Linked DNA regions of Pelodiscus sinensis. The protein of the gene in region 2 purifies or fractionates together with the protein of the main gene of each other region. This does not show direct contact. Links are inferred from orthologs where the notes say so. Each region holds a gene or a part of one and is shown on either strand. Other genes may lie near its edges.

Region 1 (11,256 bases), on a different chromosome or scaffold from region 2:
GTGAGGATAGATTTTGATGACAGTACAAGGAATAAGTGGTAGGGTTTAGAGAGTGGCTATGAAGGAAGAGGGCAAAGAAAAGTCAATTATGACAGCAAAATGGTGAGCCTGCAAGATGTGAAGAACAAGGGGAACTGTTAGTAGTGACAGAAGATAGATAGAAGAGGGGAACCAAGAAGAAAGATAAGAATTTCAGTGTGGTTGCGGGGTGATGTATTGAATGTTTCACTTACAGGGTGTTTGGAGATATAAGATTGCACAATAGGGGAGGTGTTATGGATAAAGAGACAAATTGGGCACTCAGATTTCAGAGACTACAGATGAAGTCCTGGAAGTAAGGGAGGTCACCAAGAGAAGAGTATGCAGGTTAAAATTATGGAATTGATGATAGAAACTTGAGGGATACAAACATTTGGAGAAGAGGGAAGAATGAGGATTCACTGAAGATGATGAGGGACCCATCAGGAAGGTAGAAGCACATGTGGCAGAGCACAGAAACTCATAAGTAGGTCCTCACAGATTCATGGTCCATTTTGGTCAATTTCATGGCTGTAGGATTTTAAAAATAATAATTTTCATTATTTCAGCTATTTAAATCTCAGATTTGATGAGTGTTGTAATTGTAGGGGTCCTAACCCAAAAAGGAGTTGTGGGGGAGGGAGGGTTGCAAGAATATTGTAGTAGGGGTTGCAATACTGCTACTAGTACTTCTGCACTGCTGCTATCACTGGTGTTGCCTTCAGAGCTGGACAGCTGGAGAATAGCAGTTGATGGTCAGGAGCCCAGCTCTAAAAGCAGAGCTGCTGCCAGCAGCAGCACAGAAATAAGGAAGGCATGATATGGCCTAATTTGAGAAATTCTGGTCTCCCCTCTGAAATCTGACTAGTATTGGTTAAAAGCACACAAAGGACTAGATTTCATGAGGGGAGACCAGATTTTATGGTTCATGACATGTTTTTCATGACTGTGAATTTGGTAGGGCCCTACTCATAAGTCAACATTGTAGAGAAAGCTTAAGAAGAGAGAACAGTAAACTGTGTTGATATAAGATCAAATAAATGTTTAAACTTAGCCACAAGAAGATTTGTAATGGTTTTGGTTAGAGCAATTCTAATAGAGAAGCCAAAATCTACAAACAGCAACACAACTAAAATACTTATTCTCTAATAAGATTTGTTTTAAATGATATTTAAAGGACTTTCATCATAATAGCAAATAAGCCACATGTGATTGCTAATTTTGAAGCAGTTAAAATATCACAAATATGTGAATTTTAAGAAGATGTTTCAGGAAGTTAAATCATAAATATACATTATTTGGGGGCAGTCCTGCATGCAAATAGCAATTAAACAATTTGGGGAAATAACATCAAATAAGCATATAAAACAGTAATTATTTAGAAACCAACTCTGCCTCAATTAAATTGAGTAGTAGCTTATTCAGAGAATATTATTCTTATTCAATGGGGCTACCCTCAGAGTAAGATATTTCTCAATGTGATGGAGGGCAGAATTGGGCCTTCAATATTTAAATAACAATTTGAAAAATTCTCCCTATTACTGTCATTTGAAATCTCTTACTTCCTTGTATGTTACCATTATGTTGTATGCTATATATTATGTCTTGTGCATATTTCATGTCTTGTATGTTGTATCCAGTATATGTTTAATAAATCAGTCACGATCTGCAATAAATCTACTGTTTTGTTTTAAATTAGCATGCATTTCATATCTCCTATATAGTCTGCTATTTTGGTTCACATATTCAATAACCTAACAAAATGTAGTGATTGAGAATAATACCAGCATTATAGCCAACTTTTCATCTAAGATTCTCAAAGCACCTGACAATCATTAGCAGCCAGATTCAGCCACCACTAACTCTCATTGAGCAGAACCTTAATTCACAAAAAGCTTTTTCAATAAAATTACTCTGAGTGAAGTTCTGTAATATCAAATGTCAGGGTAGCAGAATCTGGCCTTAAATACTTAACTGCCATAATGCCCCTGTGAGGTAGAAATTATTATTCACATTTTACAACTGCAGAAACTGAGGTCCCAGTTCAGCAAAGCACTTATAAGTTTAAAATCCCATTGACATCTAAGGCTATGTCTAGACAGCATTGATTTTCTGGATACTGTAGGTATCCCGGAAAAGCAACGCTGCGTCCAAGGAACGAATCCGCTTTTTCAGAAATTTTTTGGAAAAAGCGGATGTGCTCTTGCACCATCCCAGTAAACCTCGTACTATGAAAATAAGGGATGTGTCGAAAGAGCACTATTTTCCAAAATTTGGTACCTTGTAGACGCATCACATTTCAGAAAAGCCTCTTTCGAAAGTAACGTACCGCAAATTGCGTATCTTTTTCTAATTTACCAGTGCAGTCTAGATGTAGCCTCATACAGTTAAGAAAGTGCTGAAATGCTTTACTGAATTGGGGCATTAGGAACAGAGAGATTAACAGCAGATCAGTAGACCTGGGAAAAGAACCCAGGAGAAAACCCTGTCCCCTGAGGTGTTTATTATTGGATTGCTTGACATATGTACAACTATACACATTTTAATACTCATTAGGACATTGTCTCTAGTACCTAGACTATCACAGCAGGCCATGATTAGCCACTGAATATTAATTAGGTTCCCCTGGACAGAGGATGCTGCCTTCAGTAATGAAGAAGTCAAATATAAAATATAGGACTTGAATCTTTGTGTGCACTGGTATTTTAAAATTGAATAGAGCAATTCCAATCTCATGTTTGTAACATGAAATGCACAGAGCTGGGAGAAGGGCAATGCATGGGCTTGCTCTGAAATAGCACTGGGGATTGGAAAAGCCTGAGTAGACATGTAGATTTATGTTGGCAACACTTTTCTTTCTTAGGAGTATGAATAAAATATGCTCGAGTAACATACATTTTGCCAGCATAAGTGCTTGTGTGTACAGTGCTATGTCATTGAGAGTTGGTTCTCACTGAGCTGGTTTCATTGTGTGGATGGGAGACAGGCCATATGCAGGAATTTCTGTGTGTCGGGGGAGGGCTTTTTTTTGTAAATGTGGGCCACAAGGATGTGAATGCATCCCCTATGGTCCCCTAAGTAAGCAGGGAAATCAGCTCCAGCCTTCCCCTGGCTGGGAAGCTTAGTCAGCACGTTCGCTGCTCCTGCCTTCCCCTGGCTGTCCAGAGCATGCTTACTAAGGGACCATGAGGGGGGGGGGGAGGGGGGGGGGAGTGCTTTTGCACCCTTCGCACACACATCCCTATGGCCTGGGAGAACTCTCTCCCATGGCCAAAGTGCACACTTACAGCAGTACCATTGTATCAGGCCAAGGCAGCCACTGTGCTTTTGAATTGGGGCTAGGGTTTCCAGGTGGATTCAAAAAAAATTCCAGACACATTTGATCTCAGATGGCGGTGGGGGAGGGGGGCTGGCTAGGAGAATGGGGGGGAATCAGCTGGTGGGAAACAGGGCTGGTGGAGCGGGGTCGGGGGCAATGAGGCTGGCCAGGGGAGATCGGGGCGGGGGGGGGGGGAACCGGCTGGCGGGAAGCAGGGCTGGTCAGAGGGAGTGGGGCTGGCCGGGGGAGATTGGGTGGGGGGGGACCAGCCGACGGGAAGCGGGGCTGTCCAGGAGGGGGTCGGGGGGAGTGGGGCTGGCCGAAGGTGTGGAGTGGGGGGAGAGAATCAGCCAGCAGGGAGCAGAACTGACTCAGGCAGATGCAGATCCCGCGGTGCTACCCGTCCTGTGCACGCCCGGCGAAGCACAAGCGTGTCTGGCCCCGGGGATTCCTCATGCCCCGCCTCCCTCCCCCTTCGCATAGTTGTGTACTGCCTGTCTGGTAGACATACTCATGCAGCATGAGCGTGTCTACCAGCCAGGCAGTTTGCAACTAAGTACTGATACTTCTAATAACAAAACTTACCTAATTAGAAAATAATGGACATTTTATATGTCTGGTATTTTCTTAATTTTTTTCCCAGACAGAACCCTCAAATACCAGACTGTCCGGTTCAAAACTGTACACCTGGCAACCCTAATTGGTGATTTGGGGGTAAAGCGTGCGTGTGGGAAGCTCTGGGCTTACATAAAGGGCAGTGCCAAAGCAGCACTGCCTGTACAGCTGTGCTACGCCCCCCAGATCACTGCACCCTCATCCCCAAGCACTGCCGGGAGCGCATGGTACTTTTGAATCACCAGGCCCTAGGACAGCTGTCCCCTTTATTCCCCCATGCCTGCCTGGGTCACTGTGGGACACAGCCAAACATCTCCCCTCCCCCACTGCATGCAGCATGTGGCTGTGCTGGAGCAGCTCCCAGGCTGCCTGTGTGGGGAGGGGGGAAGGCTCGGAGGCTCCTTTCTGGAGGTGCCAAAGGTATGGGAGGGGTCTGAGGGAGGCTTGGGACAGAGAGGAGGGAAGACCTAGGGACACAGGCAGGGCCTGAGCCAGGAGAGGCTCCCTTCCTTCTTATCTGGAAGCTTCAGGGGATAGACAAGTTAGTCTGTACAAGTACAGGATAAACTTAAAAAACAACAAATGGTGTGGGTAGCACTTTATAGACTAACAAAACATGTAGATGGTATCTTGAGCTTTTGTGGGCACAGCCCACTTCTTCAGATGACTGGAGTTTTGAGTTTAGGATGTGCAGACCTAAAATAAATAGGAGAGAAGGGAGAGGGAAAGGAAGAAAAAAAGGAAGGGGGCAGGAAACAAGGAGCAGAGGGTATGAAAATATCAAAGGGAAACTCAAGTAGGCAGAACTGGTAATCTATAAGCACCCGAAGATTGGATAAAAAGCAGCAGATAAGGATCAAAGGACCGCAATTAGATAGGAAGGGTACTAACATAAGAATCTACACAAAGAGCTGTTGGCACCTTCATTGAATGTTAGTGTTTCTCAACCTTTTTTTTTTTTTTTTTTTTAATAAATTACCCCTTTTAAAAAAATTTAAGTACCCCCCTTTTTTTTAAAACAAAATTGTAAGTACCCCCAGTACCTAGTTTTGGGGGACACAATTTTTTTTCTACTATTGCAACACATTTGTTTAAACAATTTAATTGTAGCCAGGTGGGTGATGAAATTTTGGAGTGTAAAAAGTCCAAAAATAATAGAGCGCTGTAAAACTTAAAACAAAAATTCAGTTTTCTCCAGGTTTCAGTTGTGTTGACGTACCCCCTTCCCCCCCGACTTCTCTCAAGTACCCCTAAGGGTACTTGTATCACTGGTTGAGAAACACTGGAATGTTTTTGGTTGACAATGTCCCAGCCATCCAGTATCTCGATTGAGAAGGTAATCAGTAGAGGAATTGAATTTGTGGATGAATTGTAATTCCAACAACTCTCTGTGTATTTAGCTTGTAGAATTGGTCTGTGACAAGATGGCCACCTGGAGATCTCTTAAAGAGTGATTAGGTAGATTGAAGTGTTCTCCAACAGGTTTCTGTATGTTCCCTTTCCCTATATCTGATTGGGGTCAATTGAGTCTTTCCCGTAGGGACTGTCCAGTTTGTCCAATGGGGCATTGCTGGCATTTGATGGCATAGAGCAAATTACTGGTGGTGCAGTTGAATGACGCTCTGATTTGGTGGCTGATGTGGTTGGGTCCAGGGACGAATTCGCTGGTATAGACACTGGGCTGGTTGCAGGCCTGAGTTCCTGGAGGCTTATGATGTGGTTGTGCAGCATGGTGACCGGAAATCATTGGTTTCAGGTGGGGGGGGGGGGGCTTGTGAGCGGGAATGCCCCCCCCCGAGAGCGAGGGGTCATGTTCCAAGCTGGGTTGCGGATTGTGTACTCTCTGCTCCTTGTTTCCTGCCCCCCCCCATTTGTTTTGGGTGCGCCCATCCCACTCCGGCCATCTGAAGAAGTGGGCTGCGCCCACGAGAGCTCAGGATCCCGTCTCCTGCTTGTTCGTACATGGGCGGGACCAGGCACCCCCGCCCCTTTCCTGGGGGAGAGTCCATTGATCGCGGCGACAGGGGGAGCGGCAGGCTGCGCAGCGTGGTTGAACGCAGGCGCTCGGGCCTAGTTCGGTGCGAGCCCGTGCCCGGAGGCGCCGCCAGCAGAAGCCACGGCACTGGCAGCCGGGGGCGCTGATCGGGCCGTTTGGCTCAGTCTCCCCCCGGGTCCCGGCGGGGAATGGTGCCTTCCGCAGCGCGCGCCTTGCTCCCGCGGTTCGGTTGTTCGGCGGGGGGAGGGGAAGGGAGCGCCGGGCTGGCCCCAGGGAGCGCGAGCCGCGGCTCCGCACGGACGGGACCATGTCGGCGGGCGGGGAGGAACTGAAAGTGCCCGAGGAGATGTTCAAAGATGTCAAGTTCTTCGCAGTGGGAGACATCGACCCCAAGGTACCGGGTCAACCCCCCCCCCCTCCGCCCGCCGCTGGGCACTGTGGGCTCTTCCACTGCTTCCTTGCGCCGGTGACAGCTGTGGAAGCTCGCGCCGCTTTAAAGCTCGCGCCGCGCATAAGTGTGTGTGTGTGTGCGCGCGGGGTGTCTCGCGCACTCTCTGAGGGGGTTGCGGGCGAATGGGCTGCAGTCTCTGTGTTTCCCTCCGCACCCCCCGCGCCGTGGAACCGGCCGCCCCGGTGCGCAGGCCCCAGAGCAGCCTGCGCGGAGCCGCCGGGCGGGACGGCGAGTGGGAGAGCGACTTCCCCGGACAGCGGCGGCCCCCGCGGCAGGGCCCTCGGGTCCAGCCAGCCCTCCGCAGCCCCTCGCCGCCTCCTCGGGTCCAGCCTCCCCTGCCCATCCCGCTACAGACCCACGGGGGGACCCCTCGCTCCGCCTCCCGGCCCTGTGCCCAGCGCCAGCCTCGGGCACGGCCCGCTCGCTAGGGCCGAACCGCGGGCACTGGCTGCTCCCTCCTTTCCCTGCCCGGCTTCAGGGAGCAGCGCGGAGCCCCCTTTCCTGCCCTGCCCCATTCCGGGCCATGGGCACTGAGCCCCCGGTCGCCTCATCCCTGTTCGCCCAGCCCCGTGCCACAGGCACTGACTGCACTGAAAGGTCACTCGCCCGGCGCCTGAGGGTGCGGAACATGCACGTTGCCATTGTGTCCCTGGATTTATAATGACCGCACTTAAAAATGTAGGGAACCGGGCGTGTAGTCAAGTCTTTGCACAATCACTCGGCACTTCTGTGTGTGAAAAATATATTGGGAGGGGGGGACTCTTTAGGGTTTGTTATAGTTACATATGATACATGTGAAGCGTTCCTCTCTGAAAGTATTAATCAATTGCTGCGGGTGATTAAAATCATTTTCTGTACCTTTTAAAGGAAATTAGAACATTCTCGCAGTCTAACTTCTTCACAAAGTTTTGACTGTCAGTAAGTAGCACACAAGGCCCCAATCAGACATTCTAAGAAATCCCTAACAATCCAGGATTTGAAAAAAAATCCCCAACCCAGCACTAGAAGTGCTAACTGCAGGGAATCTTGTGGAGGATGGAGGGTGAGGGAGTGTGATTTGTCAGGTTGTAAGGTCACTTTCATTTAATGACCAAATAAAAAGTGACTGAGTTTTCAGAGACCATTTACTTAGATTTGTTCTGGTTTTATATTTAATCTTAGCCAAAAGGCTGAGAAGCGATATAATACTATTAAACACAAAGAAGTGTTTTTATTATTTAGTAAAGTAAAAGCACTCAAAAGATAGGAAATGCCAGAATTAATATGACCTGTGCAACTTTAATTCAGCCCCCTGTGCATATTCATTATGAAAAGTGTTTAATTATATGATCACATATTATTTTCCCCATAAGACTCCAACCTCATTCCTTCCAAATATGGATGCTGCTTATTTAATGAGCAGCAGTTCAGTATTTTGCTTTATTCTTATTGTTCATTGTGTGGGGCCCCTTACCTTATATATTGCACACTATTCAGACTCTGCTGTGGAGTCAGAATTATTATTTTTCTTAAGGGTATTTCTATGGCGCCCCTCACTATTGTATTAAAGTGCTTCACAAACCGATACTACTTAAATCTTTTCAACACTGCTGTGAAGTGAGAGGTGGTATTATCCCCATTTCACAAATGGAATCTTAATTTTGGCTTTTTCTAATGTTTGTGCTTCACTTTGCAATCTTAATGGTATTTTAACATACCTTTTTATGTGTAACTCTGGATTTTTAAAACAAACTGAAAAATAGAAATTCCAACATGTGGCATCAGGATAACAGATAAGCCTTAATGGGTGAGGCTTATCTGTTATGGTTAACCAGTGGGGGCCCACTCCAGGCCAGCTGAGACAGGCAAGCTGTCCCCCTCACCCCATTTAATCAGTTAATGGGTTAAGCATAATGTTTCAATGGTTAACTAATTAAATGGAATTTTACACCCCTAATTTTGACACCCACAGTGGTCATCAGTAGGGTTGGAACCTTTACATCCATTGTACAGATCTCTGCTGTTGTTGGCACAGACCTCTGTTGTGGAATAACTAATAGTAGAGATGTTAAAATTAGATTAATTAATAATTGAATAGTCGATAGAATTTCCATTGACTATTCAATTAGTTAAGGGTGCGTCTGTTTTAAAATTAGCAACAGCTGGGTGGCTCTTGCTATCATTTCAAAGTGCCAGGCGGTGTTCTGCCTTTGAAATGCGGCATGGAGCCTGGAGCCAGTGGGAAGTCTTCTGCTGGCCCCAGGCTCCATGCGGCAATTCAGCTTTTGAAGCTGGCCCCAGGCTACATGCTGCGTTTCAGTCTTTGAAATGCACCATAGCCCCTACTGGGGCTCTTGTACATTTTAAAGATGGAATGCCACCGCTCTGCCCCTTCCCCTTCCCACGAAGCTGGAGCTGTGGGGAACTGGCTTTTAAGCAGGCTCCTCCCAGCACCCCATCTCTCTCACCTTGCTGCCTCTTTCTAATAGAGACAGCAAGGCCTGGAGCGGAGTGGAGCAGAGCGGAGCGGGGCGGGGGCGGAGGGAGGGACTAGTCAGTTAGTTGCTTACATCCCTAACTAATAGCAGGAGCAGTTTAACATCCCCTGTGTGTATTAACACCTTTGCCAGTGGGTTTCATAGATATTTGCTGACTACAGAGGAGTGGTTAGCTTCAGCAGTCTTGGGTTCTAGTCTAGGCTGTGGAAGCTAATTACCCTACTAGGCACAGACTCTTCTGGCCATTCCTGCCAAGCATGAACTCTTCTACCCTGTCCTTATTTCAGTCTTGTCTCTTTTCCCCCCCTTAAATCCTTATCCCATTCTCCTTGTCTTTTCAGTCCCAATCTCCTCTTTTCAGGATTTCACCACAGTCTTTGACGCCTACACTGGCATGATTTTGTGGAAATACTTTTAACGGAAAAGTTTTTCCGTTAAAAGTATTTCTGCAAAAGAGCGTCTAGATTGGCACGGATGCTTTTGCGCAAAAGCATCCGTGCCCAGTATAGATGCGCTTTTGCGCAAGAAAGCTCCGATGGCCATTTTAGCCATCGGGTGTCTTGCGCAAAAAATTAAGGTGCCTGTCTACACTGGCCCTCTTGCGCAAGTATTCTTGTGCAAGAGGGCTTATCCCTGAGTGGGAACATCAAAGTATTTGCACAAGAAGCACTGAATTTTTACATAAGAACGTCAGTGCTCTTGTGCAAATTCAAGCGGCCAGTGTGCACAGCTGGCAAGTTTCTTGCCAGTCTAGACACACCCTTACTGTTCCTGCACTCAGTCCGTGTTCCCCTCTTTCAGCTCATCATCTGATCTGCCTCTCTCTTCTTGTCCTAGTTTCTTTGCCCAGCCAGTCCTAGGTCTCCCTTCACATTTTAGCTCTTTGTCAAATCTGTCTCCCCATACACACTGGTCTTATTCTGTCTGCTCTCAGCTCCTTGTTTAGTCTCTACAGCCCTGTGTGGATACTAGGGATGTGAATGACTAATTGACTATCCAATAAGCAAATGCTAGTCGACTAGTCGCTTCCTTCCCCCTCCCCCCCGCGCTATCAGAAAGAGGCAGTAAGTGGGGACGGGAGGAGAGGATGCTTTAAAGCAGCAGCGCCTCATAGAGCCCGGGGCCAGACCCCGGGCTCCATGCAGCGCTGATGATTTGAAATGTTGTGTGCAGCCTGGGGCCAGCTGGGGACTGGGCTGCACGTGCACGCAGTGTTTCAAAGTGACAGTGCTGCGTGGAGTCCACAGCTGACCCCGGGCTCCACACAGCATTGCCACTTTGAAGCACTGCAGGGAGCACAAGGCCACTGGAGGATTGCTTGAGTCTCCCACTGGTCCCATGCTCCCTGCAGCACTTTCGCCTTTGAAGTGTAGCAGAGGCACCCTTATCGACTAATCGAATAGTTGATGTAAATTGCATTGACTATTCAATTAGTGAGTTCATCATAATTTTACGTCCCTAGAGGATACAAATGTCTACTTGCAGATGTGGCTATCCACGTATAGAAATCAGTATTCGCTGATCTGCAGCCCTCTACTCTCAGGAGATGCAGCCAAAAGAGATTAGTGTGGTACTGCCACTCCAGGTGGGGCTGTACGACCCTCTGACGGATGCAACTGGGTGGTACACCTGCATGGCTTGGAGGAGCTGCCAGCCCGGGGTACTGGATCCTGGAAGCAGCAGCAGCAGCTTCCTTTCTCATTTGGCTGCAGCATCTTCTGGGAGTAGATCAGCAGATGCCAGTTTCTATCCACGGATATCTGCATCTGCAGGCAGGCATTTGTACGCGCACAAGGTTCTACCAATCTTGGTAAACCTCCTGCTTCCACCAGCACAGTAGCTGTTCATCCCAGTTCCCCTTCAAGATTTCCCTTAATACCTCTTCTCCCTGGTCTCTTGCCAAACCAATTTCAACCTTCCCTTCCCCTCTATCTCCCAGTTTCAGCTGACCCCTTGTCCCAGTCTGTTCATTTCCTTCTCTCCTAGTTCAGCTTTTGTTTCTCCCACATTTGAATTTGATAGCTTCCCTCTCTGTGCCACCTGGATACCAGAAAACAGATATCAGAGGGGTAGCCGTGTTAGTCTGAATCTGCAAAAGCGGCGAGGAGTCCTGTGGCACCTTATAGACTAACTGAAGTGTTGGAGCATAAGCTTTCATGGGCAAAGACCCACTTCTCATGCATCTGACGAAGTGGGTCTTTGCCCACGAAAGCTTATGCTCCAACACTTCAGTTAGTCTATAAGGTGCCACAGGACTCCTCGCCGCTTTTGCAGAAAACAGATGTCACCCACAGTGCTGATAAATGCAAAGTATTTCATATAGGAAAACATCTCAAATATACATACAAAATAATGGGGTCTAAATTAACTGTTACCACTC
Region 2 (10,465 bases):
GGAATCAGCCGCTGATCAGTTTCAGCAGCAGCTGACTTGGGGACGCCTGGGTTTCTTAAGTTGAATCTGTATGTAAGTCAGAACTGGCGTCCAGATTCAGCCGCGGTTGAAACTGATCAGTTTCAGCAGCGGCTGACGCCCGTTCCGACTTACATACAGATTCAACTTAAGAACAAACCTACAATCCCTATCTTGTACGTAACCCGGGGACTGCCTGTACTTCAGCTTTTCCCACATCATCTATCACTAGGTTACCCCCCTCATCCAGTAAGGGCCCCACACCCTTCACAAGTCTCATTCATTGGTGTGGCTGAAACAAAAAACAGGACTATGTAGCACTTTAAAGACTAACAAGATGGTTTACTAGGTGATGAGCTTTCATGGGCCAGACCCACTTCCTCAGATCAAATAGTGGAAGAAAATAGTCACAACCATATATACCAAAGGATACAATTTAAAAAAATGAACACATATGAAAAGGACAAATCAAATTTCAGAACAGAAGGCGGATGGGGGGCTAATGATATTAGAGGTGATAATTGGGGAAGCTATCTTTGTAATGGGTAAGATAATTAATGTCTTTGTTTAAACCTAGGCGTAAAGTGTCGAATTTAAGCATGAATGTCAGTTCAGAGGATTCTCTTTCAAGTGTGGTCTTAAAAGGTCTTTGAAGCAGGATGCAGGTAATCAAGTGGTTGAGACAATGTCCTTTCTGGTTGAAATGGGAAGAAACTGTTTTTTCTTTGTGATCCTGTCTAATATCTATTTTGTGGGCATTGATCCTTTGGCGAAGTGTCTGAGACGTTTGTCCAATGTACACAGCAGACGGACACTGTCGGCACATGATAGCATAATTATATTTCTGGATGAGCAGGAATATGTGTTTTTGATCTTATAACTCTCGGCTACATTTCTATCACTCATTGGTGTGGGTGAGTAGTGCTTTTAATGTGGGTTTTATTGCTAAGTCTGGCAGACTGGGAGTGAAGGGATTGGTGGTGCAGACCTCTCAGCAAAGATGGTTGGGAATCTCTCAATTTCAGGCTTCAGTGAAAGGGAAAGTGCTTCCCTTGGGAGCAGAGGATTGGGAGTTGGTGGTGTGTGTAGGGAGGGCGTTTTTGTGGGTGAATGGAGCTGGCTCTGGAGTGATGCAATCTCCATTGAAAAGAATAATAATCTTCCTTCCTGTTCCTCCCCACTGTGGGGAATTGAGGGGCCCACCCAAGTAGCTAGAAGGGAGGTCCCCCAACCCAAAGAATGTCTGATGCTGAGGAGGGGGCATCCCAGACTCTTTCAATCAGGGATGGAGTGATGAATTTCTCCTCTAGGGGTGCCAGTGGGTAGATGAGAGAGTATCTTCTACATTCACTGGGGAGGTGAGGTGTTTTCCTGTGGGGATGCCCCAAATCTCGCAGTGGGATGGGGTGAGGTTCTGCCCTGTGAACGTGAGGCTCCCAGAGGGGGTTGAAGCTGGGGGGCTCCCAGAGGGTGGGGATCAAGCTATGTCCGAAGGGCATGGGGGCTTCCAGTGGAGGGTCAAGCTGTGCCAAGGGCATGGAGGGGTCAGGCTGTGGTGAGGAGGTAGCGGGGCGGGGGGGGGAAGAGAGGTGTCAGGCTGTGTCCAAGGGCTGTGTCCGAGGGGCGGGGAGTAGCGGGGGGGGGGCAGTCAGGCTATGGTGAGTGGGTAGCGGGGGGGGGTCAGGCTGTGTCCGAGGGGCGGGGGGGTAGCGGGAGGGGGTTAGGCTGTGTCTGAGGGGGAAGTAGCGGGGGTGTCAGGCTGTGTCCGAGGGGCGGGGGGGTAGCGGGAGGGGTCAGTCTGTGTCCAAGGGGCTGGGGAGGTTGCGGGGGGGTCAGGCTGTGTCCGAGGGGGGTAGCGAGGGGGGGGTCAGTCTGTGTCCGAGGGGCGGGGGGGGGGGTCAGGCTGTGTCCGAGGGGCCGGACACAGAGTAGCAGGGGGGGCCACTCAAAAAGAAATAACAAAATGTTTTTAAAGTACATTAGAAGCAGGAAGCCTGCTAAAAAACCTGTGGGTCCCCTAGATGATCGAGCTATAAAAGGAGCAATCAAGGACGATAAAGCCATTGCGGAGAAACTAAATGATTTCTTTGCTTCAGTCTTCACGGCTGAGGACGTTGGGGAGATTCCTGAATCTGCACCGTCCTTTGTGGGTGATGAATCTGAGGAACTGTCCCAGATTGAAGTGTCATTAGAGGAGGTTTTGGAACAAATAGAAAAACTTAATGTTAACAAATCTCCGGGACCAGATGGCATTCATCCAAGGGTTCTAAAAGAACTTAAATGGGAAATTGCTGAGCTATTATCTGTGGTTTGTAACCTATCCTTTAAATCGGCTTCCGTACCTAATGACTGGAAGGTAGCCAACGTGACACCAATATTTAAAAAGGGCTCTAGAGGCGATCCTGGCAATTACAGACCAGTAAGTCTAACTTCAGTACCGGGCAAATTAGTCGAAACAATAGTAAAGAATAAAATTGTGAATCATGTAGAAGAACATAATTTGTTGGACAAAAGTCAACATGGTTTCTGTAAAGGGAAATCCTGTCTTACTAATCTGTTAGAGTTCTTTGAAGGGGTTAACAAACATGCGGACAAGGGGGATCCAGTAGATATAGTATACTTGGATTTTCAGAAAGCCTTTGACAAGCTCACTCACCAAAGGCTCTTATGTAAATTACATGGCCATGGGATAAGAGGGAAGGTCCTTTCTTGGATTGAGAACTGGCTAAAAGACAGGAAACAAAGGATAGGAATAAATGGTAAATTTTCAGATTGGAAAGGGGTAACTAGTGGTGTACCCCAAGGGTCAGTCCTGGGACCAATCCTTTTCAACTTATTCATAAATGATCTGGAGAAAGGGGTAAGCAGTGAGGTAGTAAAGTTTGCAGATGATACCAAACTGTTTAGGATAGTCAAGACAGAAGCAGACTGTGAGGGACTCCAAGAAGATCTCACCAAACTGAGTGACTGGGCAACAAAATGGCAAATGAAATTTAATGTGGATAAGTGTAAAGTAATGCACATCGGGAAAAATAACCCCAACTATACGTACAGTATGATGGGGGCTAATTTGGCTACGACAAATCAGGAAAGAGATCTTGGAGTTATCGTGGACAGTTCTCTGAAAACTTCCACACAGAGTGCAGCGGCGGTCAAAAAGGCAAATAGGAATTATTAGGAAAGGCATAGAAAATAAGACCCAGAATATCTTACTGCCCCTGTATAAAACTATGGTACGCCCACATCTTGAATACTGTGTACAGATGTGGTCTCCTCACCTCAAAAAAGATATTTTGGCCTTGGAAAGGGTTCAGAAAAGGGCAACTAAAATGATTAGGGGTTTGGAACAGGTCCCATATGAGGAGAGGTTAAAGCGACTGGGACTTTTCAGTTTAGAAAAGAGGAGACCGAGAGGGGATATGATAGAGGTCTATAAAATCATGAGTGGTGTGGAGAGGGTGAATAAAGAAAAGTTATTTATTAGTTCCCATAATAGAAGAACTAGAGGACACCAAATGAAATTAATGGGTAGCAGGTTTAAAACTAATAAAAGAAAGTTCTTCTTCACACAGCGTGTAGTCAACCTATAGAACTCCTTGCCAGAGGAGGCTGTGAAGGCTAGGACTATAGAGTTTAAAGAGAAGCTAGATAATTTCATGGAGGTTAGGTCCATAAAAGGCTATTAACCAGGGGATAAAATGGTGTCCTTGGCCTCTGTTTGTAAGAGGCTGGAGAGGGATGGCAGGAGACAAATCACTTGATCATTGTCTTCGGTCCACCCTCTCTGGGGCACCTGGTGCTGGCCACTGTCGGTAGACAGGATACTGGGCTAGATGGACCTTTGGTCTGACCCAGTACGGCCGTTCTTATGGAGGGGTAAGCGGGGGGTCAGGCTGTGTCCGAGGGGGCGGGGGAGGAGCGGGGGGGGGTCAGTCTGTGTCCGAGGGCCGGAGGGGAGTGGTGGGGGTCAGGCTGTGTCCGAGGGGCGGGGGGGGGGGCGCGGAAGGGCCAGTCTGTGTCCGGGGGGGTGCGGGGGGTGCGGGGGGGGTCAGTCTGTGTCCGGGGGGGAGCGAGGGGGTCAGTCTGTGTCTGGGGGGGAGCGGGGGGGTCAGTCTGTGTCCGGGGGGCGCGGGGGGGGGTCAGTCTGTGTCCGGGGGGCCGGGGGGTGCGGGGGGGGTCAGTCTGTGTCCGGGGGGGCGCGGGAGGGGCACGGGGGGGGTCAGGCTGTGTCCGAGGGGCGGGGGGTAGCGGGGGGGGGTCAGTCTGTGTCCGGGGGGCGCGGGGGGGGTCAGTCTGTGTCCGGGGGGGCGTGGGAGGGGCGCGGGGGGGGTCAGGCTGTGTCCGGGGGGGTAGCGGGGGGGTCAGGCTGTGTCCGAGGGGCAGGGGGTAGCGGGGGGGGTCAGTCTGTGTCCGGGGGGAGCGTGGGGGGTCAGGCTGTGTCCGGGGGCCGGGGGGGCGCGGGGGGGTCAGGCTGTGTCCGGGGGGCGGTCAGGCTGTGTCCGGGGGCCGGGGGGGCGTGGGGGGGGTCAGGCTGTGTCCGGGGGCCGCGGGAGGGTTAGGCTGTGTCCGGGGGGCGCGGGGGGGTCAGGCTGTGTCCGGGGGCCGGGGGGAGCGGGGGGGGTCAGTCTGTGTCCGGGGAGCGGGGGGGGGGTCAGGCTGTGTCCGGGGGGGTGGCGGGGGGGTCAGGCTGTGTCCGTGGGGTGGGGGGGAGCGGGGGGGGTCAGTCTGTGTCCGGGGAGCGGGGGGGGTCAGGCTGTGTCCGAGGGGCGGGGGGTAGCGGGGGGGGGGTCAGGCTGTGTCCGGGGGGGGGTGGCGGGGGGGTCAGGCTGTGTCCGAGGGGCGGGGGGTAGCGGGGGGGGGTCAGTCTGTGTCCGGGGGGCCGGGGGGGTGCGGGGGGGGTCAGTCTGTGTCCGGGGGGCGCGGGGGGGGGGTCAGTCTGTGTCCGGGGGGGTAGCGGGGGGGTGTCCGAGGGGCGGGGGGTAGCGGGGGGGGTCAGTCTGTGTCCGGGGGGCGCGAGAGGGGCGCGGGGGGGGTGTCAGTCTGTGTCCGGGGAGCGGGGGGGGGGTCAGGCTGTGTCCGAGGGGCGGGGGGTAGCGGGGGGGGGGGTCAGTCTGTGTCCGGGGCGCGGGGGGGTAGCGGGGGGGTCAGGCTGTGTCCGGGGGGCAGCGGGGGGGGGTCAGTCTGTGTCCGGGGGGCGCGAGAGGGGCGCGGGGGGGTCAGTCTGTGTCCGGGGCGCGGGGGGGTGGCGGGGGGGTCAGGCTGTGTCCGAGGGGCGGGGGGTAGCGGGGGGGGGTCAGTCTGTGTCCGGGGCGCGGGGGGATAGCGGGGGGGTCAGTCTGTGTCCGGGGCGCGAGAGGGGCGCGGGGGGGGTCAGTCTGTGTCCGGGGAGCGGGGGGGGGGTCAGGCTGTGTCCGAGGGGCGGGGGGTAGCGGGGGGGGTCAGTCTGTGTCCGGGGGGGGCGGGGGGGTCAGTGTGTGTCCGGGGAGGCGCGGGGGGGTCAGTCTGTCCCCCCGCGCACGGGGGGGGGCGCCTCTCCCCGCGCGCCCAGAGGCAGGCCCGGCGGCCTGTGGCGGCGGCGGGGGCGCGCGCGCTGCCCGGGCTCGGTCGCGCCCCCGCTCGGTCACGTGTCTGCAGGAGGCGGAGCCGCGGCCGGGCTGCTGCGGTGTCCTGGGCGCTTGGCAGGGAGCGGGCCGACCCCCCCGGTGCGACGGGCCCAGGCCGGCTCTCAGCCCGGCGCCGAGGCGGCGGCTGCCCAGGTGAGGGCGGGGCCGGGCGGGGGGCTCGGGCCCGGCGGGGGGGGGGCGGGTCAGCGGGGCCGGCCCGGGGAGGGCAGGGGCCGGGCACGGAGCGGGCCGGGCCGGCTGGGGGCGGGGGGGGAGCGCGGCCGGCGGGGGGAGCGCGGGGGCGCCCAGGCTCCCGCGGGGGGGGCGAGGCCTGGCCTGGCGCGTGGGGGCGGGTGCCCGCCCGGGCCTGGCGGCGGCGGCTCGCGGGGCTGGGCTCTCCCTGCGCGGGGTGGGGTCCTCCGGGGGCGGGGGCCAGGTGCCTGGGGGGGGGGGCTGGCAAAGGGCCGCGGGCCCCTTTCTCCGGCTGAATGTCCCCGGGGCTCCCGTGCCACCTCCCGGGGGGGGGTCGAAAGTCCCTGCCTGGATGGCAGCCCCCCCGGCACCCCGCCCAGCAGGGCCCGCACCTTTGCTCTCACGATGCCTCCTGCAGCCAGGCGGGCCGAATAATGTTATTCAAAGAGAAACCTCTGATTTCCTTGGCTCAGTTAGTCCCATGAGCAGCTCGCCTAGGTCTGACCCAGCCCCCCGAGAGATGAAGACCTTTGTCACTTCCCAGCATTCCCTGTATGGGCTGAACATAGCTCTGGAGCTCTTGCGTGCTGCCTTGGTGAATCTTGTGCACACTGGCTTCCTCATGTCTGCACTTTGTAGTTGTGGACCCCTTAAACGGGATCCATCCCAGTTTAATAGGAGGGTATTGAATGTTGCATTGGCTAGAGGGTTCATAGTCATACTTCCATTTCAAAGAATGTAGCACTGCTAAGATGGTGTGGATTGTTCAACTCGGATCCAATGTCCTCCTTTTGGTTCTGTCATAGGCTCTGTCATGTATGGGAAACTGGAAGATCCTGTAACTATTTTATTTGATCAACTATCCTTCCTATTTCTGATTTTGAACAAATGCAGGCAGTATGTCAGAGGTTTATTTGTGTTCTCTTCCAGCCCTTTTAAAATAAATTGAGCAACTTTGTGTCCTCTTATTGTGAAGTCTGCATTATTTTTTAAAACACCAACTGTGTTAAGAGACTTGATTACAGGGAACAGTGGCTTTGATTTCATAGGGGTGTCTTGCCTGGCCAGTTGTGCTACCTTTTCTGGTTTTGAGAGTAAACTGCAAAATGTAAATTACAAGAATGCTGTAGAAGTTAAGCCAAGATGACAGGGTTAATTTTAGTCCTGTGAGCCTTGTCTGGATTTTAAAATTGTGTATTGCACACACACAACCCACTTCCCACCTTAGTTAAGCTGCAACTTAAAGTTTAAAGGGACAGTCTTATCTGAGCTTCAGTTATAGAAATAACTCCATCTGTTATCATAATGCTATTAAACCCTCATGAGTATTTTTCATTGTATCTTTACAGAGGTGATATTTCAAAGGGATTCAGGACCCAAGCATCATTCTTCATCCTTCACTGATGGGGAAAATAACGAAAGGTCCTGCATAGGGATTTAATAGTGTAGTCGATTAACCAGTTAAACGCTTATAGGTTAATGCTACAGACTTCACACGTTTCCCTTCCCCCACCCTTGCCAGTAATTTTTTTAGCAGGCTGGCCAGCAGGCTGGCTCAGTTCTGGCTCACACCAGGTCCAGGAGCTCAGACCCTCCCTTAAACAGGGGCTGCTTCACCCTGCACTGTTGCCTCTTTATCAGAGGCAGCAGCACTGGGCGACAAGCAGCCGGTCTACAAGGGGAGCTGATTTTTAAACTGGCTCCCCTCATGGACCAGTTCCTGCCCGCACTGCTGCCTCTGATACAGTGGCTGCTGGAACCACCTCTGGGTACTATAGAATAGTTGACTAACCGATAAAAATTCATAAGGTTACTTGACTATTCAATTAACCAATATTTAACATCCCTAGTCCTTCAGCACCTTAGAGACTCGCAAAAAATATATAGGTAGTATCATGAGCTTTCATGGGCACGACCCACTTCTTCAGATAAATGGGCCACAAAGAGTGAAATGATCAAAAGTGTCCTCTATTTATGCAAACAACAAATTTTGGTTGGTCAAATTTAACCACATATGGTCTATTTCTTCATTGTTTTTGTTCACCTGTGGTGGTGAGCACTTTGTGGTCCCATGGATTTCATGTGGAGTTGTGTGTGTTAATATCTCAGGAAAATAGTAGATGTTTCAAATTAGGCATCCAAAATCAGTGGTTGCTTTTAATCTTTTTGGGCTAGTTGTCTACAGTTACACACAGCAAATTCATAGCAGAGCTGAGAATAAAACATGAATCTCATGACTACTTAGGTTACTACCTAATCAATTGAACCATACTGCTTCCTTTTAATATTAACGTAGAATGACCTGGTTTTACAATGATATTTTTTCATGATAATACTTTGATCCTACCTTTTGCTATTAAGGTCATATTTCATGATTTCTGCACCTCACTCAGGCTTCTGCTCACTGCTTCACTGTCCCCCTGGGAATTAAAAAGTGTCCCTTAGCAGATTTCAGACTTACCCAGTGGAGAGACTTGCAGTTGCTGCTCCTATGGTCAGTTATGCTTTGTCTGAAAAACTTGCTCGGTGGCAGAACTCACAGGGGAGGAACTACCTGCAATAACCTTGCTGCTTACATGATAATCATAGCGTTAAATCTGATGAGTATAGTTATTTATTCCCTTTAAAAAAAACCCCAAAATATCTTGAAAATCAGGCATTTCTAAAATTAGATTAAACTCTCAGTGGCCTTAAAAGTGTGGAACTGCAGTTACATTTCAATAAATAACCTCTGTGCTGTCCTGGATACTGTCCATGTAAGCCTTGTGAGGTAAATAAAAATCTGAGTAAGATACCGAGTTGACACCACTAAACCCTGTTAAACACATTAAAGCCAGTATATTTTGTCAATTTATCTGTGGACCTTAAAAAGTGCATAATATTAGATATCTTGTACTAGATCTACAACATTTTAGAAATGGTGTGAATCATAGTTGAGTTGTGTGGGTGTATTGGGTTCATGATGTATGTAGGGGAAGGGGACCGCACTGTTGAGGATACCAAAAGGTTAATATGGCTGTAAGATTCTGACATCTCTGGGCTGTATTGGGGAAAGTGGGATTGTACAGGTTTTTGATGTGTATCTGAAGTGCAGAAGGCAAGATTCTTTTGTTTCAGTCTTGCTCAAGAGATAATGCATTTTTAGAAGCTCACTATTAGTTATGTAGGTTGTGCTCATGGTGAATTTAATATGTAGAATGTGGACTGTAGTTCTCAACACTGAAAATGAGTCTGGTAACTTGTTATACTGTGTGTAGGCATACAGTTGTTTTGATAACCTTTCGGAAGGTAGGGGGAAGACTGGCTTGAAACATACTAGACCAGATAAGCCTGAGGTCATCATAAATTTCCAGGGGACAGCATCCTAGTGAGAAACCAATGCTGTTGCCTACAGTTATTGTCTAGATAGTAGAAGTAGACAAGCATGTGCTTTTAAAATTTTTGCTTGTCAGTAGGGCACTGACTTCTTCTTTCAAGTGGTAAACTTTCCACCCTTATTCATATCTTTGTGCTCTCCAGAGTAGCAATGCTTCTTGAAAAAGATATGTTCTGGCCAGTGCTCCTTTGTCTGTGCTAAGGATATTAAGTAACGGTTAATTTACTAGTCAAGTAGTCAATGGAAATTCCATCGACTACTGGACTTGTTGATAGGTACTGCTGCATAGGTACTTGTTGATAGGTACTGCTACCCCTACTGGGGCTCTTGTACATTTCAAAGAAGGAATGGGGAACTCCAGGTGCAGCCTGGGGCCAGCGGGAAGTCCGGCTGACTCAGGGCTGCACATGCTAGCTTTGAGATGTACAAGGGTACCTGGGCTCCATGCTGCGCTGCTGATTTGAAATGCCATGAGAAGCTGGGGTCAACTGGGGATTCCCCAGCTGATCCTGGGCTCTGCATGGCATGAACCTGGGATCATCTGGGCACACCCCAGCTGACTGCGGGTTCTGCGTGGCATCTCCCCAGAACCCAGGGTCAGCTGGGGGCTGCTGATCCTGGGTTCCGTTGAAATGCTATGCTGGAGCCTGGGATCAGTTGGGGAGGTTCCCAGCTGACCCCGGGCTCCATGCGCGGGAGCGCCGCACAGCTGATCACAAGGAGGAAGGAGAAAATTTGTTCCTCTTGGTTTCTGAGGACAGGACAAGGAGTAATGGGCTTAAAGTGCAGCAGGGGAGGTTTAGATTGGACATTAGGAAAAAATTCCTAACTGTCAGGGTGGTCAAATACTGGAATAAATTGCCAAGGGAGGTGGTGGAATCTCCCTCTCTGGAGATATTTAAGAACAGGTTAGATAGACATCTGTCAGGGATGGTGTAGGTGGAGCTTGGTCCTGCCTTGAGGGCGGGGGGCTGGACTCGATGACCTCTCGAGGTCCCTTCCAGTCCTATGATTCTATGATTCCCGCCTCGGAATTAAAGAGTCGAGGATCCCACTTTAAAAACCCTGACATTTCAAAGGGGCAGTGCCACATAGCTGATCCCGGACTCAGCTGTGCCGCACTGATACTTTGAAGTACCCCCTCTTCCCTCCCTTTGCTGCCTCTATCTGAGCAAGGATGTGGGGGAATTGACTAGTTGACTGACTGTCTGATAAGCATTTGCTTATTGGATAGTCAACTACTCCTTAACATCCCTAGTCTGTGCTAGCTTGTAAT
Region 3 (10,444 bases), on a different chromosome or scaffold from region 2:
ATTGGCAACAGTGACTTAAACATATGATTATGGTACCCAACATGCTCAGACAGATCCTCTATTATCTGATTTACAAAAAACATATTAATCCAACTGGAAAGCACGTGAGAGAAGAGGAAGACATAGCTAACCAATCACACAAAAATGGAAACTTTATTTTCACTAAATGTTTATTTAACGTTGAAACGTATTAGACTTGTTTAAACGGTATGCTTAAAAAAACCCTCTCTTTTCAGAAGCACTGGTGATTAAAAACAGTCCAGTCTTCATCTGATCAGTGATACATTGGGGTAACTCTAACACAACCTCCAAAATCCTATTTTAGAAATGCTGGTTCCTTGTGTTACTGAAACACCTCAGGCCACAATCATGAAAGCTTTCCATTCGCATGGTCCTCCTGTGAGGATCAGCTTGCAGCATCAAGTCATATACAGGAACATTAAAACTGCAGAGGAAAACAAACAACTTGAACTGTCTGTTTACTTTTTGCATTTCATTTACCTGATTCATGTGAAGTACATAAAGCTAATGAAAACCAGTTTCATTTTTGTCTCTAGCTACTTTCATTTTCTGGCTCTCATGCATTGACACAGATTTTAGACGTCATATAAGTATTTATAGTTTTAGACTTCTTAAATAAAAATAATCTAGATTTCTCCTTGAAACTGACTGTGTCCCTTTAACACTAGAAATATAATTGAAAAAGAAAATACACTTTTCACAAAGTATACAGATTATCTTAAACTGGCATGGAAGAAACTGCCTTTTCCACAAACGGCAGTATTTTAAAAGTGATTAAATTAATTTTGTTAATTTTTAATATTATGTAGCTACAGAATCATAAATAGGCAGCATTCAGAGTTTCACTATAAAAATACTTTTGTAAAAGTAGCTCAAATGCTTTCTATGTAACTAGATGTTACATATACAAATAAAACAGGATAATGTATTTACATCTAAGGGTAAAGCAGAGGGATCAATATTGAATGCAAGGATTGAACTCTTTAAATCGGAGTGGGGAACCTTTTTTGGGTTGGGGCCACTGACCCACAGAAAAATCTGTTGGGGGCCACACATAAGTGAGAAGCAAAAATACGTGTATTGACATGGGCCCCGATTCAGAAGGAGAAAGACACTGTCCGCAATCCCCTCGCACACAAGAGCCTACGGGGACCCAGTCTAGTTGATTTAGTGAGCTTCAGCCCCGCGGTGGGAGGAAGGGTGAGCTGGAGCACTAGCACATGCTCCGCAATGCTGGAGGGGCCACTGAGTCTCAAGGACCAGATCCAGACAAGCTGGGGGCTGCATACAGCTCTGGACCTTAGCTTTAAATCATGATTTGCAGACTTCAATAATTCTGCCAGAGGTTAGGGGGGTCTATATGAAAGGAGTGGGTGAAATTCTGTGGCCTGCAATGTGCAGGAGGTCTGACTAGATTATTATAATCCTTCCTTCTGGCCTCTATGCTTGAAAGGCACATAAAAAACATCAGCGAGAACTGTTGAAATCACTTTAAACTTCCACTATGGAAAAAATCCATTATTTTAACAAAATGCAAAGATTTAAGAGAGATAGGATTGTGAATTAAATGCTACTAGAAGACACAACCACAATAAAATCAGACAGTCAATGTTAGAAAGCCTTTAACATGAACTGTCAAAAACGGGGGGGGGAGGGAACTAATCAGACTTTTATCTAAAAAAATTGTTTAATCATTACAAGTAACATGGAAGATCAATCCACCTGAATTATTAAATTAACATATTTTCTTCTATGTGTTCAGTTTATTTTATACTCTTAACAGCACTTTGTATATAGTTGGTTTCACAGTTTTCCTTGTACAGTTAGTTTCCACTGTTGTTTGTGTAAGGTCTTTCATTATAAACTACAAAAACTGACTGGGAGACTCAGGAGAAATGATCTAGCTTTAACAAAACATTTTTGTTTTAAATTGCCTAGATGTCAAGTTGACCATGACCCTTTAAAAAAAATACTAAAACATTAAGGCTTACATTTCTAACAAACATAATTAAAATGGTAGCAAACAGGTTTATTCTATTTTTATCCTAGGACATACTCTCTCACTAACAACCAAAACTGAGTACAGTTGGTTTATAAGTAGCACTTTCTGTGGCTACCAGCAAGAGGCCTTTTGGACTTCTGCTTCACAATACAGGGAGATAGAAATTGATCCAAACAAAGATATAGGTTGAACCTCTCTAGTCCAGCATTCTCTGATCTGGCAACATCTGTAGTCCGGCATAAGGGTGTGAAAGATTAACTGGTTAACGGGCCATGCTTACCGGTTGAGGATAGCCGGCAACCGGGGGGCACTGGAACAGCTCCCCCTCTGCCACAGGCAGGGGGCTGCTCCAGCCTCACAGGGGGGCCCGCCAGAGACAGGAATTGCCCCTGTCCACAGCGGGTTCAGGTGCTCCACGGCCAGTGGCTGTTATCACATTCAGAGCAGCCTCTGTCCATGGCAAGCCTGGGCCCACCGTGGACAGGGACTGCTCTGGCAGCAGCATGGAGGTGGCAGCTGGGAGCTGGCAGAGCCAGTCCCAGACCCAGCGTGGAAGCTGGGAATTGGGAGCCAGCGGCAGCACAAGCCCCAGTGCATGGCTGGAGCCAGCTACCAACCCCAGCAAGAGACTGGGAACCCCACGGGCTGAGGGCTGCTCCAGCCAGGCTGAAGTAGTGCCCAGGCCAGATCCTGCTTTAGTTGGTTACATAGTTAAACATTAGGTTAACTCAATGTTTAACCAGTTAACTGATTAACTGGGATTTTACATCCCTAGTCCGGCATGATTTTAGTTAGCTGGATGTTCATTTATCATGGTTGTGGCCAAGTTTTCTGCAGTCCCATAAAGTTTGTTTACAGGGACTACAGAAAACTTGGCCACACCCACAAACCAGTCCTGCCTTTCAGTGTTCTGTGCTGTTATTTAGCCCTAATTTACCCCAAAATGTCTTCTAACAGCCCAGTAAGCAGGGGAAGTGTTGGTAATGCTGCTGGACAATACCACCCTCCTGTGGTTCAGCAAATTCTCTAGTTTGGCACCAGTCAAATCCTGAGGATACTGGACTAGAGAGGTTCAGTCTGTATTACCTTACCCACATGCATGTACCAATTTATATATAAACTGTGGTATGTCTATTAAAACATTAGTTTATGTGTGATAATAACATTCAATGTTATTACACATTTTCACTAAAGAAAAATATTTTGTAATATTCCCTGAAATTGTGTTATGTAAAGCATACTGTCCTCCTGAAAATGAACACAAAGTTATCGGGGTTCTCGTTGACTGTCAGAGAGTTTGTTACTAACTGCACACGGGATATGGAAATTAGATAAAAGGCATTCCTAAACCTCACACTAAAGCACAGCAAGCAAATTATAAAAGGGACCTTCTATTTAAAACCAAACATAGTCCACCTGCACCACATCTGGACGCTGCAGATCACTCCAGCGCTCCCTCGGTTTGTCTGAGATGCGCTGTTGATAGTTGACGCAGCTGCAAGTGGCAGCCTGCCTAACTTCGCTAAAAGTGAACGGAGCACATTCAGTTCCGCCTGAAGCGTGCGGAGAGCGGGGACCAGAGAAGGAAGCTAGCCGGCGACAGCAAACGACAACGCAAAACACCACAATCTTCCCAGCCACCCCCTGTTGTGCCTGCTCCCTTCCTCGCTTCCCTAGCCGGGCCATCCCCAACCCGTCTGAGGCTGTTTGACAGCTCCAGGAAAAAGGCAGCTTCTACTTTCAAACACACTCCGCGGCTGGGTTGGCTGCAGGGAATTGTTGTCTAAACTTTGCGTGTGTGTCTACGTAGACAGAGGTTTGTAGAGTCATCCAGTTAGGGCTAGATCAAGCTTTTCTTTACTCCCCCTCCCCCAGAACACAGCAAGGGACACAGAGGGCAAGCGAGAGCCCTGGAGGAGGAGAGAGATCCCAAGAAGGGCAGAGGAAAGGTGCAAAAGGGAGGGAAGGACTGAGGAAGGGGCCATGCCAGGGAAAAGGGGAGAGAGCGGGTGGGAGGAGGAAAGGGAGAGAAAAGTGAGAGGGAGGGAGAGAAGAAGGAGGCCAAAGGTGAAAAGGGAGAGAGCAGTGGGGGAGGAGGGGAGAGTGCCACGGGCAGAGGAGGAAAAGAAAGAAGAAAGAGGTGAGGGGGGAAGGGACCCTCCCAAAATGGCACTGGGCAGAAGGGAGGGGGCGCTGAGGAGCGAGCCTGTGCTGACAGCTCTGCCTGCCCCCTGCCCCGCTGCCTCTCCCACACGCTCCGAACTTACTTCTTTCTGGCTCTCTGGAAAGGGGAAGCGCCATCTTTGCGAGGCCGGCCCCTAGGTCTTTTGTCTGTGGCTGCTGCTGGGGGGGGAGCTGCGGGCTCGGGGGGCTGCTGCGGCGGCGGCGGCGGCTCCGCCACCCCCGCGGCTAGACTCTTGTCCTCCGTTGACATCCTAGTCAGCAGGACGAGAGAGACACATGGATGAGGAGGAGGGTGGCGATGAGGATCCCGATGCTCCTCCTGCTCCCGATGCGCCTCTCCGCCTCACCTCCGCCTCCTCCACCTCCGCCTCGCATCGCTGGCCTCAGCCGCCGCCGACCAGCGCAGGTAGCAGGGGGAGCGGCATGGGGAGGCGGGGAGTGTGTGTGTGGGGGGGGGGAGGAAGGGGCTCGCGCACAAATAACCGCCCCGCGGAGCGGGCTCGCCAGGGGCGGGGAGGGGGCAGAGACGCGCGGGCACTCCCGCGGCGGGGGCGCCTCGCCTCAGAGGCCCAGGGGACAAGCGGCTGCTCCGGCTCCTGCGCTGCCCGGCTGCTGCGGTGGCCGCCGCTTCATTGTACGCGGCGCCCTCCCCCTGGCGGCGCCCCCGGGGCGGAGGAGGAGCAGGCGGCGGCAGGGGCCGAGGCAGAGAGGAAGTTTTGACAGCTCCAGCTGTTGTGTGTGCCGGGGGCAGAGTCCGGCCGGGCCCCGCTCCCCTCCCGGCCGGGCCGGGAGCAGGAAGTTTACTTGGGGACGGGCACACGGAGGGGGAAGCGCGGGGCCTGCGGCTGGCGAGGGAGCCCGGTGCGGTGGCGGCGGCTGCCCTGGTGTGTAACCCTCGTCAGTGCGACACATAGACACAGAGCCGCTCGGCCTCCTCCCCTCCCCCCGCGGGCCCCACACTGCGCCTGCCCGGCCCGCCCGCCCACCGTCCCACAGCACAGACACCCCTGCGACGCGCCGCCGACGCTGACCTCACGGGCTCGCTGTCTCTGCCGGGCTGGCGGCGGCTGCGGGGAAAGTGCGGAGCCCGGGAGCCGGGACTGGGCTCGGAGCGTGCGACACCCAGTGCGCTCAGCCCCGCCGTGGCTGCGGGCGGCTCCCGGGGAGCTGGCGCTGGGTGTAGACAGACCTGGCTAAGCAAACACGGCCCTGTAGGGAGCGGGTCTCCGGCCAGGGAGGAAGCAAATGCTGCTCTCGTGTGCACCCCTGTGACGCGGAGCCAGCCAACTGATTAGAGGCAATCCAGCTTGGCAGCCGAGTGGTGGAGAGCAGAATGTAGCCCCAAACGCACACAGCTGTCATTTCCCTGGATAAGCATGTGTGTGTGGTGTTAACACACGCATGTGCTCCTTACACGTCGGCAGGGGAAACCCTGACCCCTCAGATGCAGAGTGTTTAGTACACACCTACGGAGCCCAATGGCGATTGTTCCTTGTGCAACCTCTGCGCCCCGTGTGTATGTGGCAGCTTTGCTCTGAGTCAGGCTGTGTGCACGCAGTGTGCAGGGCCCCGGGAGTCTCTTTGGCATGTTCTGAGGCGCAGCAGTGCTGGAGGGGAGGAGGGCCTAGGAGCTTAGCTCGCATCACAGGAGCGAGCAGGGCTTGGCCCTCTGAGACAAAGTCTGGGCAGCGTGGAAGGTTTCCAGCCAACTCCGGCTGTAACAGCTGCGGCTGCTTGAGGGAGGCGGGGGGGGGGGTGTTTGTGCTAATCTCACTCCTCGCTTCCCCCCTCCCCCCCGGGGCAGGGCCTAGCTGGCTGCCTGCCCGCCCGGATTCACTGGGGCTCAGCGCGGGGGTTAAGACTCATTATTACACGGGATTTAATGCGTCCCGCAGCCCGCTGGAGTCGCTCCAAGGAGATCCGCGGCTTGGTGCCCTAATGTCCGGGCATAGGGCGAGGAAGCCGCCCTGGGGAGATGCCGTCATGCCGCATGTATGGGCGTTGGGGCTTGATACCTGAGCAGGACGGGCCGGTTAGCTGCCTTATTTACCCCAGCGGCGCAGCGCACATCTGGACTTTCATCCCGGATCCGCCCCAAACGCGCAGCCCTGGTAGGGAGACTGGGAGGAGGGCAGGAGACGCCTGCTTCCCCCCACCTCTCTGCCTAGAGAGTCAGTTTTGCAGTGTTAAATCTGCCCCTCTTTGCCAGGAAGGACTTTGGTGAATGTGTTTCTGTTCTGGAGATGGTGCCGCTGTCCCTCATTCATTGACACAGCCCTCTCCCCTGTTGCCAACTCCTCAGCAGCTTGCTAGAATATTTCAAGACCACAGCAAACCCTTAACTGTCCACTCTGAGGGATGGTCAGTCTCTCTTCTTTCACAGTGACCTTTACTTTTCTCCCCGGCAAGCCTGGTGCTGTTTCTCCTTTGTGAAAGTAAATTATTCACATCACAAATGCTGAATTATGAAACCGATGTTATGTATGGTAAAGAAAATCCTACAGTGTTTGAGTGTGTATATATATGTGACTCAAATATTTTGTGTGCATGTTTAAAAACTTTGCTGAGGAAACCAGAAATTTTGGTGCTCAGCCTCACAAAAGACCCCAAATTAATAACCTCAAATACAACTTGTAAAGTCCTGCATTATGTGGTGGTCCTTATTTTAGGTTTTTATTTTACTTGTGGGCCCCTACTGATTGAGAAGAATGGGCTTGTTACACTAGGCACAACAGGAGTATAGCTAGCATTTTGAAATGTGTACATGCACTGGCTGATTTGTTGTCTTTTCCCACCCACGCTGTACCCATGATTTCCTGAGAGCCTGCCATTACACACAACTTGACCACTAACAAAGTAGGAGCAGATAAAGCTAGATCTGTCACCAGTGTCTGCGTAAAAGACCGGATGAAGAACAAAAGGAAAAAAGTCCTCATCTCCCCCCTTCCCTAAAAAATTCCTGCTAGCCACCTTCAGAAATTTTGCAAAAATAAAAGATATTGTTTTTCACATTGAGATAGTGCAAGATGCTAGGGGAGACAAAGCACTCAGGTTACCTCAATGAAGCTAATTGAGGTCACCACCATAATGCCCAGGGTTTACCACAACTAGCAACAGTGAGGTAAAAACTCCTATTACTAGAACTTTGTATTTGTATTATGATAGCACTTAAGGGCACCAGTCATAGACCAGGATTTCACTGTGCAAGGCACTGTATAAACACGGAACCAAAAATAGTTGTTTACTCCAACAGACTTACAATTCAAGTGTCTTGTCATCATGAGGATTTTATATGAAGACCAGGTCTATACTATAAACTTTTTGTCAGGATAACTGTGTCTGTCAGGGATGAGATGGGCATGATTTATGATCAACATAGCTATGCCAGCAAAATCCTCTATTGTAGACCTAGCTATTCCAGCAAAACTGGGCTTTTGCCAGTAAAACTTATTTCATTATGGGGGACTAGAACATATATACAGGAAAAAATGCAGTTTTGCTGGTATAAGCTGCATAGCACGTTACGGCTATGTCTACACTGCCGATTTTGCTGGCAGTGAGTATGCAAATGAGATGTGGGTTAGCATATAGTTGCAGCTCATTTGCATAATTTATGCAAGCCTTTTTTTGCACAAAAACAAGCAGCGTGGACGGGGTTTTTTGCACAAAAATTCCTTTTCCTGCCAGATCAGTAAGCCTCCTTCTTGGGGACATAAGGATCTGGCAGGAAAAGGGGTTGCGCAAAAAGGAAACGTCCACACTGCTTGTTTTTGTGCAACCCCTCCCCTCCCAAATCGGATTGGCAGAAAATATGCAAATGAGATTGTGATTTATGCAAATGAGTACCTCATTAACATATTTTTTGCTGCAAAAACTCGTAGTGTAGACATAGTCTACCAGTATAGTGTACTGGTATACCTATAATATGGCTACGTCTAGACCGGCATGATTTTCCGGAAATGCTTTTAACGGAAAAGTTTTCCGTTAAAAGCATTTTCGGAAAAGCATGTCTAGATTGGCACGGACGCTTTTCTGCAAAAGCACTTTTTGCAGAAAAGCATCCGTGGCCAATCTAGACGCGCTTTTGCGCAAAAAAGCCCCAATCACCATTTGCAGAAAACAAATCTCAGCTGTCTACACTGGCTCTTTTGCGCAAAAGTTTTGGCAAAAGGGACTTTTGCCCGAACGGGAGCAGCATAGTATTTCCGCAAAAAGCACTGATTTCTTACAGTAGGAAGTCAGTGCTTTTGCGGAAATTCAAGCGACCAGTGTAGACAGCACGTTTTTCCGGAAAAGCGGCTGATTTTCCGGAAAAACTGGCCAGTCTAGACACAGCCATACTGAAAAAACCTTCAACTATAGACATGTCCCAAGCCTTACACTAAGCAGCACTCTGCATTTTAATGGATGTTAAGAAGGCTTTTCATTTGTATTTAACTAAATAGAACTACTACTAATAATAATTACTAATAATAATTTGTGCCAATCAAGTCAGAGTCCTTTGAAAATGCCAACTGAAGTTATAAACTCCCAAGCCCCCTCAAAGTAAGTGTTTTCAAGTGCCTGCAGAATTGGTTTCAACCTATAACTGAGAGCACCTGCAAGAATATTTAAATGAGGCACATTTCCAGTTTTTGACTTACACATATAAAGTTGTTTTGATGTGCTTAATGACAAACTAGGAGTAAAATTCTAATGCCCACAGATCTGCCAAAACAGGAGTGAAAGGAAGATGGGATCTTGTTATGGAAACCATTAAAGACAAATAAGAACTAGTATGTAAATACTATAGGGTTATTATAGCATTAGAAACAGTATTGTGCAACAAAAATAACAAGGAATAAAATGACTCAAGTTGCTGGTAGTGGGACACAGACACTTTCTCCTTCATGTTACTAGTTCAAATCCAGATCAATCTAATAATGGTTCACTAACGAATATAAAATGAAGAAGTGAGTTGTGCCTATGAAAGCTCATGATACCAGCTACTTGTTTTGTTAGTCTTTAAGGTGCTGCAAGACTATTCGTTGTTTTTTAAGTTTTTCCAGTTACAGACTAACTCGGCTACCCCTCTGAAGCTTTTCAATATAAAACGAGTTAAGGTTTAATTTTGGTTTCTTCAGGACAGGTGTCTGCATGACTCTCAGAAAAAAATAGTCACAATGGCATTGCCTACACTAGGATTTAAGGCAGAATAACAATTTAAAATTGTCCTGTAGGGAAAATACTATGCCTTTGACAGTTGCAAAACTGATCACATGAAAGCCTACCAGAGCTTGGCCAGCTAACATACATCTTAATTAGTGCTGAGTGTTTTTCATTCATGTTAAGCTCACACAGTTGAGATAAGATGATGGAAACACACCTTTTTACCCAACAAGGGCAGGTCTGCATTGAAAACACTGCAGTGGACCAGTGGTATTAGTGCTTTTCTCATCAGCATAGGTACTTCACCTCCACAATAGGTAATAGTGCTGGGAAAAGCCTTCCCATCAATATGGCACTGTGTACACTGGAGGTTAGGTTGGTTTAACTGCATCATGCAGGGGTGTGGATTTTTCAATCTTGTGAGGAATGTTAGTTATACCAACCTATTTTTGTAACATATACCTGGCCCAAGACACATAGGACCCTGCTGTATTCCCACTGGATTTTCATTTAATTGGTTTTGCATATTTTGAAAGCAGAGTACTTTTTCTACACTATGCTTTTAAAATGTATTTAACATGTGTTGACATCAGCCCTTTATACCTTAGTCTAAACAAGGCCTTAGGAATTTTAGATTTTGTCCACACAGGAAAGATTTTTGGTATAAACTAAAGTGTGAATGTAAAACAAAAGTTATACAAATAACTCCATGTAGAAGAGTGGCCTTTTTTGGGAGAGAGGTAGGTGGGAGAGTTAAGATAATTAAAAAAACCACCAGAATAAATGTATTTTCATGGCCAGAGGAAATGGGGCAGGGCTGGAGCTATACTTTTATGACTACACCTATATATTTGTATCAATATGATAGGTAAAATTTTCCTTTAGACAACATCATCTTTCATGGTTGTAAGTTTGCATGTGTTACCTCCATTAAAATGCTTAAAATATTAACAGCACAAATTATTTACAATTAAATCTTCCTATTTGGAACTAATTGATTTTCTATATTAAAATGTGGTATAAATGTTATTCCTTCCAAACACTGGCCCTAATCCTATAAATGCTTAATTAGACATGTAATTAATGATA

The links.
Region 1: the proteins of NCOA6 (region 2) and PAXIP1 purify together in Homo sapiens (co-immunoprecipitation; 6 studies listed by BioGRID and IntAct, with this or other methods). This does not show direct contact. The link is inferred for Pelodiscus sinensis from reciprocal best matches to the Homo sapiens genes NCOA6 and PAXIP1.
Region 3: the proteins of NCOA6 (region 2) and KMT2C purify together in Homo sapiens (co-immunoprecipitation; 7 studies listed by BioGRID and IntAct, with this or other methods). This does not show direct contact. The link is inferred for Pelodiscus sinensis from reciprocal best matches to the Homo sapiens genes NCOA6 and KMT2C.

The regions. Positions count from the first base shown.
Region 1 is NC_134712.1:241,908,843-241,920,098, forward strand, and holds the start of PAXIP1 (PAX-interacting protein 1), read left to right. Parts: upstream 1-5,945; 5' UTR 5,946-6,255; coding exon 6,256-6,342; intron 6,343-11,256.
Region 2 is NC_134728.1:30,851,751-30,862,215, forward strand, and holds the start of NCOA6 (nuclear receptor coactivator 6), read left to right. Parts: upstream 1-5,606; 5' UTR 5,607-5,774; intron 5,775-6,205; exon of another isoform or gene 6,206-6,324; intron 6,325-10,465. UniProt on the Homo sapiens protein: Nuclear receptor coactivator that directly binds nuclear receptors and stimulates the transcriptional activities in a hormone-dependent fashion. Coactivates expression in an agonist- and AF2-dependent manner.
Region 3 is NC_134712.1:243,701,321-243,711,764, reverse strand, and holds the start of KMT2C (histone-lysine N-methyltransferase 2C), read right to left. Parts: upstream 4,760-10,444; 5' UTR 4,555-4,759; exon of another isoform or gene 4,459-4,554; 5' UTR 4,458-4,458; coding exon 4,291-4,457; intron 4,164-4,290; exon of another isoform or gene 4,079-4,163; intron 3,973-4,078; exon of another isoform or gene 3,609-3,972; intron 1-3,608. UniProt on the Homo sapiens protein: Histone methyltransferase that catalyzes methyl group transfer from S-adenosyl-L-methionine to the epsilon-amino group of 'Lys-4' of histone H3 (H3K4).